2 linked regions of the Drosophila melanogaster genome follow. Changing the gene in region 2 together with the main gene of any one other region gives a genetic interaction. Each region holds a gene or a part of one and is shown on either strand. Other genes may lie near its edges.

Region 1 (4,790 bases), on a different chromosome or scaffold from region 2:
CTAGAATTTGTATGCTGAATCTCATACGAACAGACGGGCATGGCTAGATCGACTCGGCAATTGATCCTGATCAAGAATATATATACTTTGTATGTTCGGAAACGCTTCCTTCTGCCTGTTACATACTTTTTAACGAATCTAGTATACCCTTATTATACCCGTTATTGCTTGTTGTTGTGCTCCCATTTTGTGTGAAACATCTAATAGAAAGTAAAGTAACAACGGTGGCCCTGTGACAACTGTTTTGATATATGAGAACAGTACAATTACGAACTAGGAAAAACACACTGCGAAAAGAGGAAGTAGTGAAACAGGCGACAAACCCAGTAAGAAATACACCCAATCTTAAAATAAGTACAGAATTATAATTTGTCTCATTAATATTTGCGTTGCCCAGTGTTTATCGTTCCATAGCCATCTTCCGTTGTTTCTTTCAATAAAATAATCGATAGCTGCCCTGTTTTGTACATTTTGTATTTTAACCTCAATTTACGATATATACGAGCAATTCAATCAAAAAAGAGTAATTGAACAATCCCTTGGTAATGCGCATTAAAAATCATTTTTTATTAGCAGTTACCAATCGAGAAGCCAAAATGACTGAGAGCATTGTGTGTCACAAGTGCCAGGAGGCCATCACCAAGCGTATGATCACCGCCCTGGGCAAGACGTGGCACCCGGAGCACTTCCTGTGCCACCACTGCGATGAGCAGATCCTGGATGCCACCTTCAATGTTCAGAGCGGAGAACCAGTGTGCAACAAGTGCTTCGTGGAGCGGTACACCTACACCTGTGCCGGCTGCAAGAAGCCGATCCTTGAAAAAACCATCTGCGCCATGGGGGAGAGGTGGCACGAAGCTTGCTTTTGCTGCGGCGGTGCCTGCAAGAAGCCGCTCGCCAGTCAAACGTTCTATGAGCGCGACGGCAAGCCCTATTGCAAACAGGATTACGAGAACCTCTTTGCTGCCAGGTGCGCCAAGTGCGAGAAGCCTATAACGGACTCAGCGGTGCTCGCCATGAACGTGAAGTGGCATCGCAATTGCTTCCAGTGCAACAAATGCGAGAATCCTATAACCTCGCAGACTTTTACCATCGACGGGGACAAGCCCGTGTGCCCCGCCTGCAATTGCTAACATCGTCCCGGACCCATGATCTTACTCCAAATTGTTTAGTTCCTTTCTTACACTAATGTTGAAATAGTTCCCGATGCTTATGAAGCCTAGAGGCATGAAAGAAATCAGACCCACACATTTGACCACACTTAACATTTCGCACACGCACACACTAAATAAAAATAAATATGTAAAGTCTCTGTATTGGGGTGGCCAGGTAAACCCTTTTATCGTTAAGATTTGCCTAAGACCAACAACACCCACAACAACATACTGATTACTGCGAGATAAACTAGAACGCAAGCCCTTTCCCAATTTTGAGTAAATATTTTCCCCAAACCCAGTGAAAAGAAGCTGTCGAGGAAAGTGTGCTTGATATGAGATCATGTTTCCAAGGGTAAATATGCTACCCAGCCTTGGAACATGCACATCTGATTATCTCATAAACGCCATTAGTCGGTGGAATTATGTTGTTTGGAGGAGGGGTATCCCAGCAGTGCAGCGGAAAATGGAAAACTCTGCGAGGGTGTGCTGACGTGCCGTCATCGTGGAAAATTCATACATTCGGGTAAAATACACGAAGCGGCTTCGTTAGTCAAGTTTTCGTTACGATTTTGTGGGCTCTGCGGCTTTGGAGTTGCCGGCTGCCGGTTTCAGTTTCATTTTTCAAACGGAGCTCGTGCAAAGCGGTTCGGTTGGTCTTTAAGCGATTTTCCACAAACCAAAAAGTATTTCCGCGGAAAAGCTGCCCGAAAACGGGAAAAGAGAGGTGGCTAATTAATTACACTGTTGAAACTGTCCCATAAATAATTGCCGTTTGAGTCGAACAATTAAGGAGTCTGTAAAAAGCTGCAGCAGCTGCAAGCCTCCATAAATCGTGTCTATCAAAATCAAGATCGTGGTTTACGTATGTTGCGAACTTTGAAATTTATTTGCGATCTATGGCCAGATTTTCCAGATTCGGATTTTCCAAATGCAGCCAATATCCTCACGTCTAGTGGCACTGACAACTCAATACAGTATATCGTGTAGATTGGCATCAGATAATTGTGATTTAGCCGTGCGTGTTGAAGTGGAATTAGTTTACTCAATTTGCAACTTCAAGTAATTGCAGTTTATTGAGGAAAATATTTTAATATATTAAAGCTGAAGTGGCGGGATAACAGATTAGCTATAAATATATATATATATACATATATGTATGTATGCAAAGACACATCTTTGATAGTAAAACACTAAGTGTGGGTGGTCTGAGCGTTTATTCTAATTGATAATTATTTTAATTAATACAAAAGATATCTAATCTTGTACTTCTACATTTTAAATGCCTGTTAAGGTCTTTCGTGCTTGCGTTTGCTCAGGTGGAGGCAGAGCTTATAAAAATGTTAATCTTACAAATTATAAAATGTGGGATTAATTGGAAAATGTTTTATTTTGATTACCTAGGTGACAGAAAATTAATTGTTAGCATATGCAAATGTCAGTCGCGATGTGAATTTGCATTTTACGAATGTGTCTACAAGCGATCAGGTCTAAAAACTCAATCAATGGGATCAATTAGGGTTTGTAATACTTGCTATTGCTGACTGTGTTGGATCAAAAAGAACATCACGCACACCTTTAAAGCGGCTGTCATTCCAGAACCTTTTTTCGTGGAAATGGAATCCAAGCCAGGCTCTAAGCTTCCAGGCCAAATTTATTGACGCTACTCTGGCATTCTTTTTCAATTCGTAGATGTCTGTGAACGAAAAAATAACTTACAAGCCGATGGCACTGGAAAAGGTCCAAGCCTAAGTCAATAATATCATCGAATTATTCTATTTGGTTTTTATTCACAGCTCATTATACCAATACTCATATATAAAATACCATTTAAAGTTAGGGGAAAGATTGAAAAAGTAGCAATAATTCGATGAAACCAAATGAAGCAACATTTTTTTTTATTGTGTAAGCCATAATATTTTTAAACACGACACATTAAAAAATTTTTTTTTACATTTCTGTATTCATTAAATCTTTGCAATGCAAAATGTTCTTCATTATGATAAAGCAATGCAAAAGGCAAACATTTGATTAAAATTAAGCTCCCAGTACGCATTCTTAGAATCTTTTTTTGTCGCAGTGCAGTTAAAAAACAGTCGGGGCAGTCACTGGCACTGAAGAACCTCCACAGTCGTACTTTGACTCTTGCGGTCGTCGGATGTTTGTAAGTTTGCCGGCTTCGCATAAGTTTTATATGGAAATTGCCATTTTTGGCGTTTCGAGCAACAGGACGGCTATAGACGCACCTTAAAAGTCCACCCGGATCGGCTGGGTCGCGCTTAACCTTTAATGGGGAAACGCCATGGCCCGAGCCTTTGAGAGCCCCTCCAGTTGGCAACCGGTTGGCTTCCAGTGAATGTCTCTGAGTTTCTGTGTGTGTCTGCTGCAAAAGCCTCTTTGTGTCAAGTCGTATGTTATTAGCATCCGCCAACTGAGCTCCCAGTGTGTCAAAAGATTTGAACTTTAAAGTGCTCAGGTGCTGAAGAGGCCCACAGACGAAAAGTAGACAGCAGACACTTGGACTGCCAGTCAGTCAGTCAGTCAGTCAGTTAGTCGGTCTCTCGGTCTTTGAATACACTGCGAATAAAACTGTGATAATCGCACATTTGGCCATGCTATCGGAAACTATCTTTAGAAAATGTGCTTTATTTCAAGCAAATGTGATTGCAATGATTAAGAAAAACGGATAGAAGAGTGTTGTACTAAGTACCAAAATACCGAAATTACTTAAAGCAAATCCCATTTACCAATAAATTGAAATGATCCAAATTCAATGAGTTTCAGCTTCAGTTTACACAGTTTTTCCCATTCGACTTTTCGGCCAGTGTTTGTGAATTGCTTATCACGTTGTTTGACTTTGAGCTCGTTTGAATTATGCGTGCTATCTTCCATTGCCATTCCCCTGGCCAGCGGGTAGTTCACGCCGCAATTGTCTCTTTCGGGTTCTTTTTATCACACCTGCCGTGCACCGCTGGATACCACACATATGCCGTCCATCCATCCGCACTGGAGCGATGTGGAGTGGAGTACCTAGAGTACTCTGTGGGGTATGGAGTAGGTAGAGTACTCGCACGTCCACAAACTTTTTTTGCCTTTTCCTTGACACGTCCTCGTTGAGCGTTGCTTGGTACTTGCATAGAATTAGTTATCGTAACTAGTTCTATTGTTTTTCGTATTCAAAATTCATCAGGGTTTTCGGCAGTTGGTTAGGAAGTTTAGAAATCTTAATAAATTAGCATTACCACTGTATACAAAACTCTGGTAATTTTAAGCCCGAAACTGTCTCAAAAACCATTCAACTTTTTGACTTAAGGCAGCCAGAGCAAATTGTGAAGTAAACCCACATTGTTTGCCCAAATAATTTAATTAAATTATTCCACTTAAAAACCGATTGAGCAAACTGAAAGCCATTCGACATGGAGTGAATCGGCAAAAAGAACAATTAATAATGATAAGAGCAACAAATAGCACGCACCCGAGGCGCTCGACTTTTAAAATTTAGAATTAGAAAAATATAAAACAAAAAACAGAAAGCAACGCCAATAAGCCTCTCACCTGGCGCTGGCCAAAAATAGCAACCGAAGACCATTTAATAACAATATCAATATGCGAAACAAATTCAAAGCTCATTTTGAA
Region 2 (7,904 bases):
TTTAATTTTTTTCGGGTGAATTGTAATAGAGTTGCTGAAATTTGGCATTGTATTTATGGCCCGGGCATTGGGGCATACCAGGCATCTTACCCACACCCACATTTCATTAGATATCCACCCTGGGAGCGGTGATAAATGCGATAATAAATATTCAAGTTGTTTTTCTGTGAGTGTTATAATTTAGTGTTGATTAGTTTGCGCAAATAAGAGTTATTGATTCAATTTCAATTAAAAGGATATGTATGTTTCTCGCAAGCGCCATAGCCCCGCACTTCGACACACTCGATGTGAAATACTCACTCTAGTCCACTTTGGGGTCGCCCACGAACAAAAGACTCCAGCAACGAACTTGTTTTGCCCTGCGTGAGTTTGTGTGTGATTGTGTTGGGCTTTTTTTTTGGCACCTTTTGCATTGATATGCCCGAGTTATTAATGATGCCTAATGAGTGGGTTGGTCCCCAATGCAACTGCTACCTGGGAGCGAGCGGGGCAATTATGTGTCATTTGTATGCACAGCCCAAGCCCAGGGACATGCAATTTGGGTGTAGTCTCTGACTAAAGCGTTTATTAACTTATTTTCGTAGGGTAACTCGTACATTTAAGTGCGTTGATAGTCGAGGACCATTACAAGGGCACCGAGAGCTGCCAACGCAGGCGGCTTTGCCTTCCAGGTGTCTGATAGCCGGAACTGCAGGAGCACCTCGATTGGGTCGATGGGGAAGCTGTAATAACGATATCTCATAATATTATGGGTCACCATACAAGGAGCGAGGCGTTTAACTCACATAGGACAAACACGATTACAACTATAGCAACACAAGGGACGAAACACTGGAATCTGCGCCTAGGAGGCCTGGTCAGAATGATTGTGGGACAGTTGACGCATGGTAAAGGTGGTTTCTGCTAGACAAATAACAATGAAAAACGATGGATTTCGCCACTCCAACTTTTACCTGGTGTGCGGAATCCCTCCTGGATCTTGTAGATCTCGTTCAATTCCCGAGCACTGCACAACGGAGTGTCCACCTGAGTGGTTTCGTTAAAGCGAGCGTAGTCGATTTCATAGGCCTGCAGATCCTTGTTGTACAACACCACTGGATCGAAACGATGTCCCCAAAGGATCTCAGTGTTAATATAGCTGGATCTGGCTTGAGTGCTCTGTCCAGTGGACTCCACGGTGCCCTCTAGGATCACCACGATTTCGAACTTATCCTGCAGCATATCAGTGGCATTAAGATTATAGAGCGGTGAGTTCTCGTCGATCTTGTGCTCGATGACCATGGGCCAGATGAAGAACAAATCAGAGCCGGAGTCATCAGTACCGATCTCCAGTTCTGTGAAGTACTGTGTCATCACCTCACCCTCCTTGGTGCTCTTTGTCCTGATCAACTGAGCCCTCACTCCGGCTCCAATGATGTGTGATTTTCGCATGTCACCCACACGGAACATCAGCGAAAGGGTGCCATCACGTTGGCAAATTACGGCGTGTTTGGAGAACAACAAAGTCTGTGCCCGCTGTTTGGCCCTTGTCATCTTGGCAAACACTATTCCGGCCATAAATGCTGAAGACATCACGCCATAGATGGACTGGAAGCACATCATGAAGATGGCCTCTGGACACTCGGGCGAGGTGGTTCGGACACCGTAGCCAATAGTGTGCTGCGTTTCAATGGAGAACAGGAAGCAGGAAGTAAAGCCATCGATGGCCGAAACACAAGGCGCCCAACCAGATTCCTCTAAAAGATGAAATTGTCATATAACCATTGAGTTCTCTTTATATTTAACAAACCTTGGTTTTCTGGCAAGTGAGGCTCTTCCAAGTCTCCGTGTGTGTAGATAATCAGCCACCAGATGAGAGCAAAGAAGAGCCAAGACAGGATAAAGCTGAGTGCGAAGGCCAAGAGAGTCCACCGCCACTGCCAATCCACCATGGTGGTGTACATGTCCTGCAGGAAACGAACTCGGCGTCTTTGCAGGTGCTTCTGCACCACATTGCAGTCACCATTTTTGAAGACCGCTCGTCGGCGAACACGTCTCATGCTGCCAGGCCGGAAATTGCGAGATCTGTGAATAGAAAATCAAAGTATTTATACATAAAGCCTAAAAGTGTGCAGTGTATTATCAATCTTTTTGGTTTCGTTTCTATTTTACGTATCGCTTCAACCAAAGACACTAGAATAACAAGATGCGTAGCGGCCATACATTGGTTTGGCACTATGCAGCCAATTTTTTAGTGACGGCCAAAATTGCTCTCTTTCCGCTCGCTCCCGCTGAGAGCATAAGAAATCTAAAAATAGAATTTGCTTGCTTGTGTGAGTAAAAACAAGAGACGAGAACGCATATATGTGTGCGTGTTGTGCTAGAAGACGATTTTCGGACCGAAATCAATTCTGATCGAAAAAACGAATTTACATTGTACATATTAGGGTAGTTTTTGCCAATTTCGTAGCAATATGATAAAATAAAATAATTTTTAACTGACTATTACCATTTTAAAGCTTTTTAAATTTGTTTGTTAAAATCGCCGCTCGAATTAGCTACCGTTTACACATTTATATTTATGTTTAATTCTAATTTGTCTCTCATCTGACAATTTTTTAAGAAAGCGAAATATTTTTTTTTTTAAACACTTTTAATGTTAATGTTACATCATATTAAGTCAAATGACATAATAAATATAGTAAATAATTAAATATGATAACTGTTTATTGCAAAAGTCATATCAAAGACACTAGAATTATTCTAGTGTCTTTGCTTTGTTCATATCTTGAAGCACGAAGTACGGACACAAGCACTCAACAATCATTGCCTTATTAATTTTTCACACGCCGCAAGATGAATACTCTAATGACAAATATTCTTATATAAAGTCATTTTTGAAATTTATTTTTGTGATAATATGTACATAGATTTGGCTATTTCTAATCTATTTTCATATAATAATAACGTTAAGGCAATGCAAAACAAGAATTTTTCGCATGGTGCCAATTGATCAAAAATAATATAGATTTAAAGTCAAAGAACTTCTAAGGTGAAGGGCATATTTTGTGAAATTTACAATGCATGAGCGAGCATACGTGTGCACACATACAGTTGTCTGCTATCACTTTATGCGATGAAAAGAGCTGTTCGCTGTAGCACTCTCCGCTCTCTCGCTCTCTAACAAAAATTCGAGAGAGCCTGGAGCCACCTCTAGAGCCACGGCGAAAAAATCGTGTGCCAAAAAATCGTATGGCGTTACGCATCTTGTTATTCTAGTGTCTTTGCTTCAACCTTATGGGTGACATAACAAATTGGAAAATATTTATTCATTTTTTAATATTATAGGATAAAGAAATTATAAGATGTGTCCGAATTTCCTTAACCCTCTTTGTCTGGAGATTCTCATTCATCGTTCCTATTACAAATGGCAATGAATATGATTTCTATGATTTATGCACGTGTCAGATAAAATTGGATGTCTCGACATCGTGTTTTTTAATTTGCGTAAATTAAGTGTGCGCTTTTGCACTCGTCTGTTTTTGGACTGGACACACGAGAAGTGCATCTAATTAACACAGCCGCGAATGCCAATGTCGCAAGGCGGACAAATCGGACAGATTCAGATCGCAATTACGATTCACGGCAATCTGACCCATCCACTCTTATAACACTTAATTACAGCTCTCCCACAAATTGTTTGATTTATTACCCCTCTGCTTGTCACAGCAATGCATTTCAAGAGGGCTTGATGCACCGGTCGATGGTTACACCCACGTGAATCGGCATTTATCGGATGCCAATTACCTTAACCCCACATTGACACTCGCACTACTCGATTAATTGGCATTGTGCCGATTGCATTAATGCCGGCTAATCAAATTTAGAGCTCAGCGGGCTAAATTTGTGCCATATGAATCATTGGCCCGCTTTGTAGAATGTCGGCATTAATTAATTACATTTTTGAGCGGACCACGCAATAAACACATAAGAAAAAATAATAAAATCGAAATAGTAAATAAAAAGTGTCTGGGAAAAGGGAAGCTATATCCGATGGGAAATCATTTGGACAACCGTTTAGCAGGTGACAAGTGTGAGAACAAGATGCCGTCAAGATTTGGAAAAGACAGAATGGCTGGCCTAATGAATCGCATTCGTAAAGCGTCTCTAAATCATTTGCACTGCAATCTGCAGCCCGGAAAGCAAACTAGAACCGTGGGCGTAGCCATATAAATTACAACCGCAAACTGCGAGCGGCACTCTGATAATCAGCTAAACAAAAAGCCAAAAAGATGCGACAACGTGACACGGACGCACGGCGATGATGGAAGTCAACTTGTCGGCAAGTTCAAGTTGAATGTCAGGCCCCTTGACGAGCTAATTACTTGGCGGAAAGCCGGCGGAACTTTGCGTAATTGGGTAATTGTTGCCCGTAGCTCCTATTTTTACTTTCGCAAGTAAAGTTCTTAGAATATTTATAAAGAGCTCTAATTAGCGTAGTAGTGTAACAGGAACTTCAGCTAGAAGTAAACATTAAATTATCAAAATCCACTATTAAATGAGAAAGAACGAAAGTTCGAAGTTAAATCATTATAGTGACGGAAATATTTCAAACCATTCTTTTGAATCTAATGATTGAAATCAGAAACAATTCGGATAATGCGCACCCTTTGGCCAGCGAGTGGCTGGAACCCTTCAAGGCCTCGTAGTAGACTCCCGCCTGCGATGGCGTGTGCGAGATGCCCCGCATGTACTGGCGCTTCCACTCCTTCATGTGGGCAAAGGTCTCCTCCTTGTCGCCGCCGACAAGGGTTTCCGCGTCGGTGGGATCCTGCAGGACCTGAACATCGCTGAGCGGGACCTGCATTTCTCTAGACGTTTTAACTTCGCGGTTCTGAACGAAACTGAAGCTCCTCGCCAGTCGATTCAGTCCAGGCCAACGTTAAAGTGGTCTGAATTTGGCCAAGCAATTAGAGCTGCTCTAACTAATCGGCACTTATTGACCAAATCACTTAGCCCGGGAAAATAGCTTAGAAAATATCCATCACAACTCACCTGCAGCTCGGTTGGCGGGGGAACGGCTTGCCATTTTGGGATAGGCCATAGTAGCTGGTCGGCCTATTCGGCACAATTGTGATGGGATAGGATTGAGGATTGCTGATCACACTGTCCAGCGAATCGGGATCCGCTTCGATGGCCTTCTTGAGCGGTTGGGTGGCCTGTTCGCCTCCATTTGCCTGTGTTGTTGTTGGTATGGTCGTAGAGGTGGGGGCCGCCGAGTGGGTGGAGAAATTGAAACGCATCTGTGGGAGGTTGAGGTGAAGGAGTTGCCTTTTCAATTAATTCCCTTGGCGTCGAGTGGGCAAACAGAAACTTGTGATAAGTGCAACCCAGGTGCGAGAATCTATTTTTTTTTGCCAACGTCGTCAGCTGATTCACACAGATTTTTGTGGTCCGCTGGCAAAGTATACAACCATATACTTTATCAGTTTATATTATTTATGGAATAACAAGCAAACATTAACCACATTATTCAACCATAAAAATAGCAGATATTCGCCACATTGTTAAACGATTTTTATAGGCAGCTGCATAAAATCCGAGCTTGAGTTACTGAAATTTAAAGCGCTTCCGCAGCTAGCTTAGATTTTCGCACCTTTCTGTACTTTTCACAAGATCCGAGGCAAGCAATTGTAAGTCGAATAATTATTGAACATCAGCACGCTTAAGCTTAAGTAGTTTTATCACCTTTTAGATATTAAATTGATTGACACCCTTAAATCGAGATTTTGTTAGATCTCCATTGTTTTGCAAAAGAGCCTCAACAAACTTTTGGCACTTTATGATGGCATGTTGCGAACTGATAATAGGCACAATGTTTTAGTTTCACAAGCTCCGTTTCGTTATGTTTTGCCGACGCGTGTCGTTCCAGAAATGAGATGATCTGAGGACTGGAGATCAGAGGGCACTCAGAGCCACAGAGCAACTGTCACAGCGAATCTACGGATCCGCAAGTCCGACCAATGGATTAAATGACGGCCGACTGAAAGAACATTTTTCCAACTAAACAAAACTTGTGAACAGAAAGCGGTGAGCTGTAAGTGACACACACATACATGTTCAGGAAGAGAGAAAATTACACAGTGCACATCGACGATGCTCTCACAGATACTGTTACCGAAAGATACAACTTGCGGCTGTGCCGCGGAAAAAGTTCAATTGAAATGATTCGTAAATTGAAAGCGAAGCGGAAGATAAGTGCGATAAGCTCATCTTATCAACGAAATCAGAAGGCAGAGACACTTCTCAATGCAAGCGACCTTGAGTCGAAGTCGGGGAAGGGGTGGCGCCTGCTTGATATTCTGTGGGCCCCCGTGTGGTGTCGCAATATCGATAGGTTAGCCCAGAGAGTTCTGATTTATCAGATACGACTGTCACTGAATCTCCCTGTTTAAATAGACAGCGCAAACAATGGCTTTCGTTTGTATTTTGGCTCGGATTCGAGTACAAGGTGTCGTATACGTAATATCTCAGTGTTTACCATCGACTCACGCGCATTTTGGCTGCATTGTGCAAACATAAATAATAAATAAATTGTGACGTTAATAACAAATATATATGTCCATACAAGCATCGCTGTGCAGTCAACGGTATGGTCATGCGTAGTTAATTTTGACGGCATTAAGCCAATTAAAAGCGTTCACTGCCACCATAAATCTTGGGCTATTGTAATGGCCTCACTTGAACCTATTTAAATTTATTGAAATTCTAAAAAATCCGATAATACTGGAAATTTTGAACAACGCTATAGGGCCAAGAACTGGAACTTGTCGAGCTCAGCGATGGGAACACGATAGCTGGGGTCGCTCACAAGCAGTCCGTCGATCAACTGGGTAGCCTCTGGACTCATGACACTTTCCATATCCTTGGGATACGTGGGTCCACCGCTCATGATCGCTGCATAGATCTCCTTTGAATTTTTACAGGCACTAGCAAAGGGCATTTTACCGCAGAGCATATAAAACAGAGTAACACCCAGCGACCAGGAGTCCACCTGATAATCGTATCCCGACATTGCGATCATCTCGGGTGCCATGTAGCATGGAGTGCCGCAACGGACGTACAACTTGCTGCCACGATAGTAAGTGGCCAAGTCAAAGTTCGCCACTTTGACCATTTTAAAGTTCCACTTGCCGGATGAAGAGCAAACCAGCAGATTCTCCGGCTTGATGTCCCGATGAATCACCTGAAGTTGGTGCATATGCGCCAGTGCCGATACCGTGCATCTCATCACCGATCTGGCATCTGCCTCCGACAAGATACCGCGCTTCTGAATTACTTTCTGCATGTTACAGTCCAGGTGCTCTAAAACCGTGTACATATAGCGCTCATCCTCAACCGTGTACATCAGCTCGATGATGTTTGGATGCGACTGAAGCTGTCGCAGCACCTCTGCCTCCATATAGGTATCTCCGCGGTCGTTGCTTTGAGTCTGCTTGTTCACCATCTTTACGGTGCACTTCGTCCTGTTGGCCCTGGTTTGCCCGCGATATATCAGCGTCCTTGTGTTGTGCTCAACGGGCTCTATAGTCTCTATGTAAAGCTGTATGGCCTCGGGCAGGTCGTGGGACTTCATGGACTCCAGGGTTCCACTGTCTAAATGATGTTGGCCCCAACGTTTACAAGAGTCCACCATTCGCTGGAAGTCCTTGTTGATGCTGTACTTGACACAAATTATTTCTTCGTTCTTACAGCAGCAAATCACAATGTCGGTTTCGCGGAAACAACTCAGCGATGTTAAATGCGATCCGTCAGTCCGGCGGAAGTGCGCGATTGCTGATCTCAAAAGCACATGGCGTTTTAAAGACTCGGTGACTCCTTGCAGAAGAGCCGGAAAGTCCTTGAAGTGGGCTCGAGAGATGACC

What was found. A genetic interaction does not mean that the proteins touch.
Region 1: of Irk2 (region 2) and Ret, changing one suppresses a phenotype caused by changing the other (phenotypic suppression), as found in Drosophila melanogaster (one study listed by BioGRID).

Annotation. Positions count from the first base shown.
Region 1 is NT_033779.5:21,195,744-21,200,533, reverse strand, and holds the start of Ret (Ret oncogene), read left to right. Parts: upstream 1-1,771; 5' UTR 1,772-1,881; intron 1,882-4,790. Other genes in the region: CG31624 (uncharacterized protein), read left to right, coding at 597-1,133.
Region 2 is NT_033777.3:23,513,424-23,521,327, forward strand, and holds Irk2 (inwardly rectifying potassium channel 2), read right to left. Parts: upstream 6,023-7,904; 5' UTR 5,728-6,022; intron 5,283-5,727; coding exon 5,035-5,282; intron 4,896-5,034; exon of another isoform or gene 4,847-4,895; coding exon of another isoform or gene 4,647-4,846; intron 2,065-4,646; coding exon 1,790-2,064; intron 1,737-1,789; coding exon 954-1,736; intron 904-953; coding exon 845-903; 3' UTR 786-844; intron 723-785; coding exon of another isoform or gene 625-722; 3' UTR 194-624; downstream 1-193. Other genes in the region: CG10177 (uncharacterized protein), read right to left, coding at 6,785-7,904.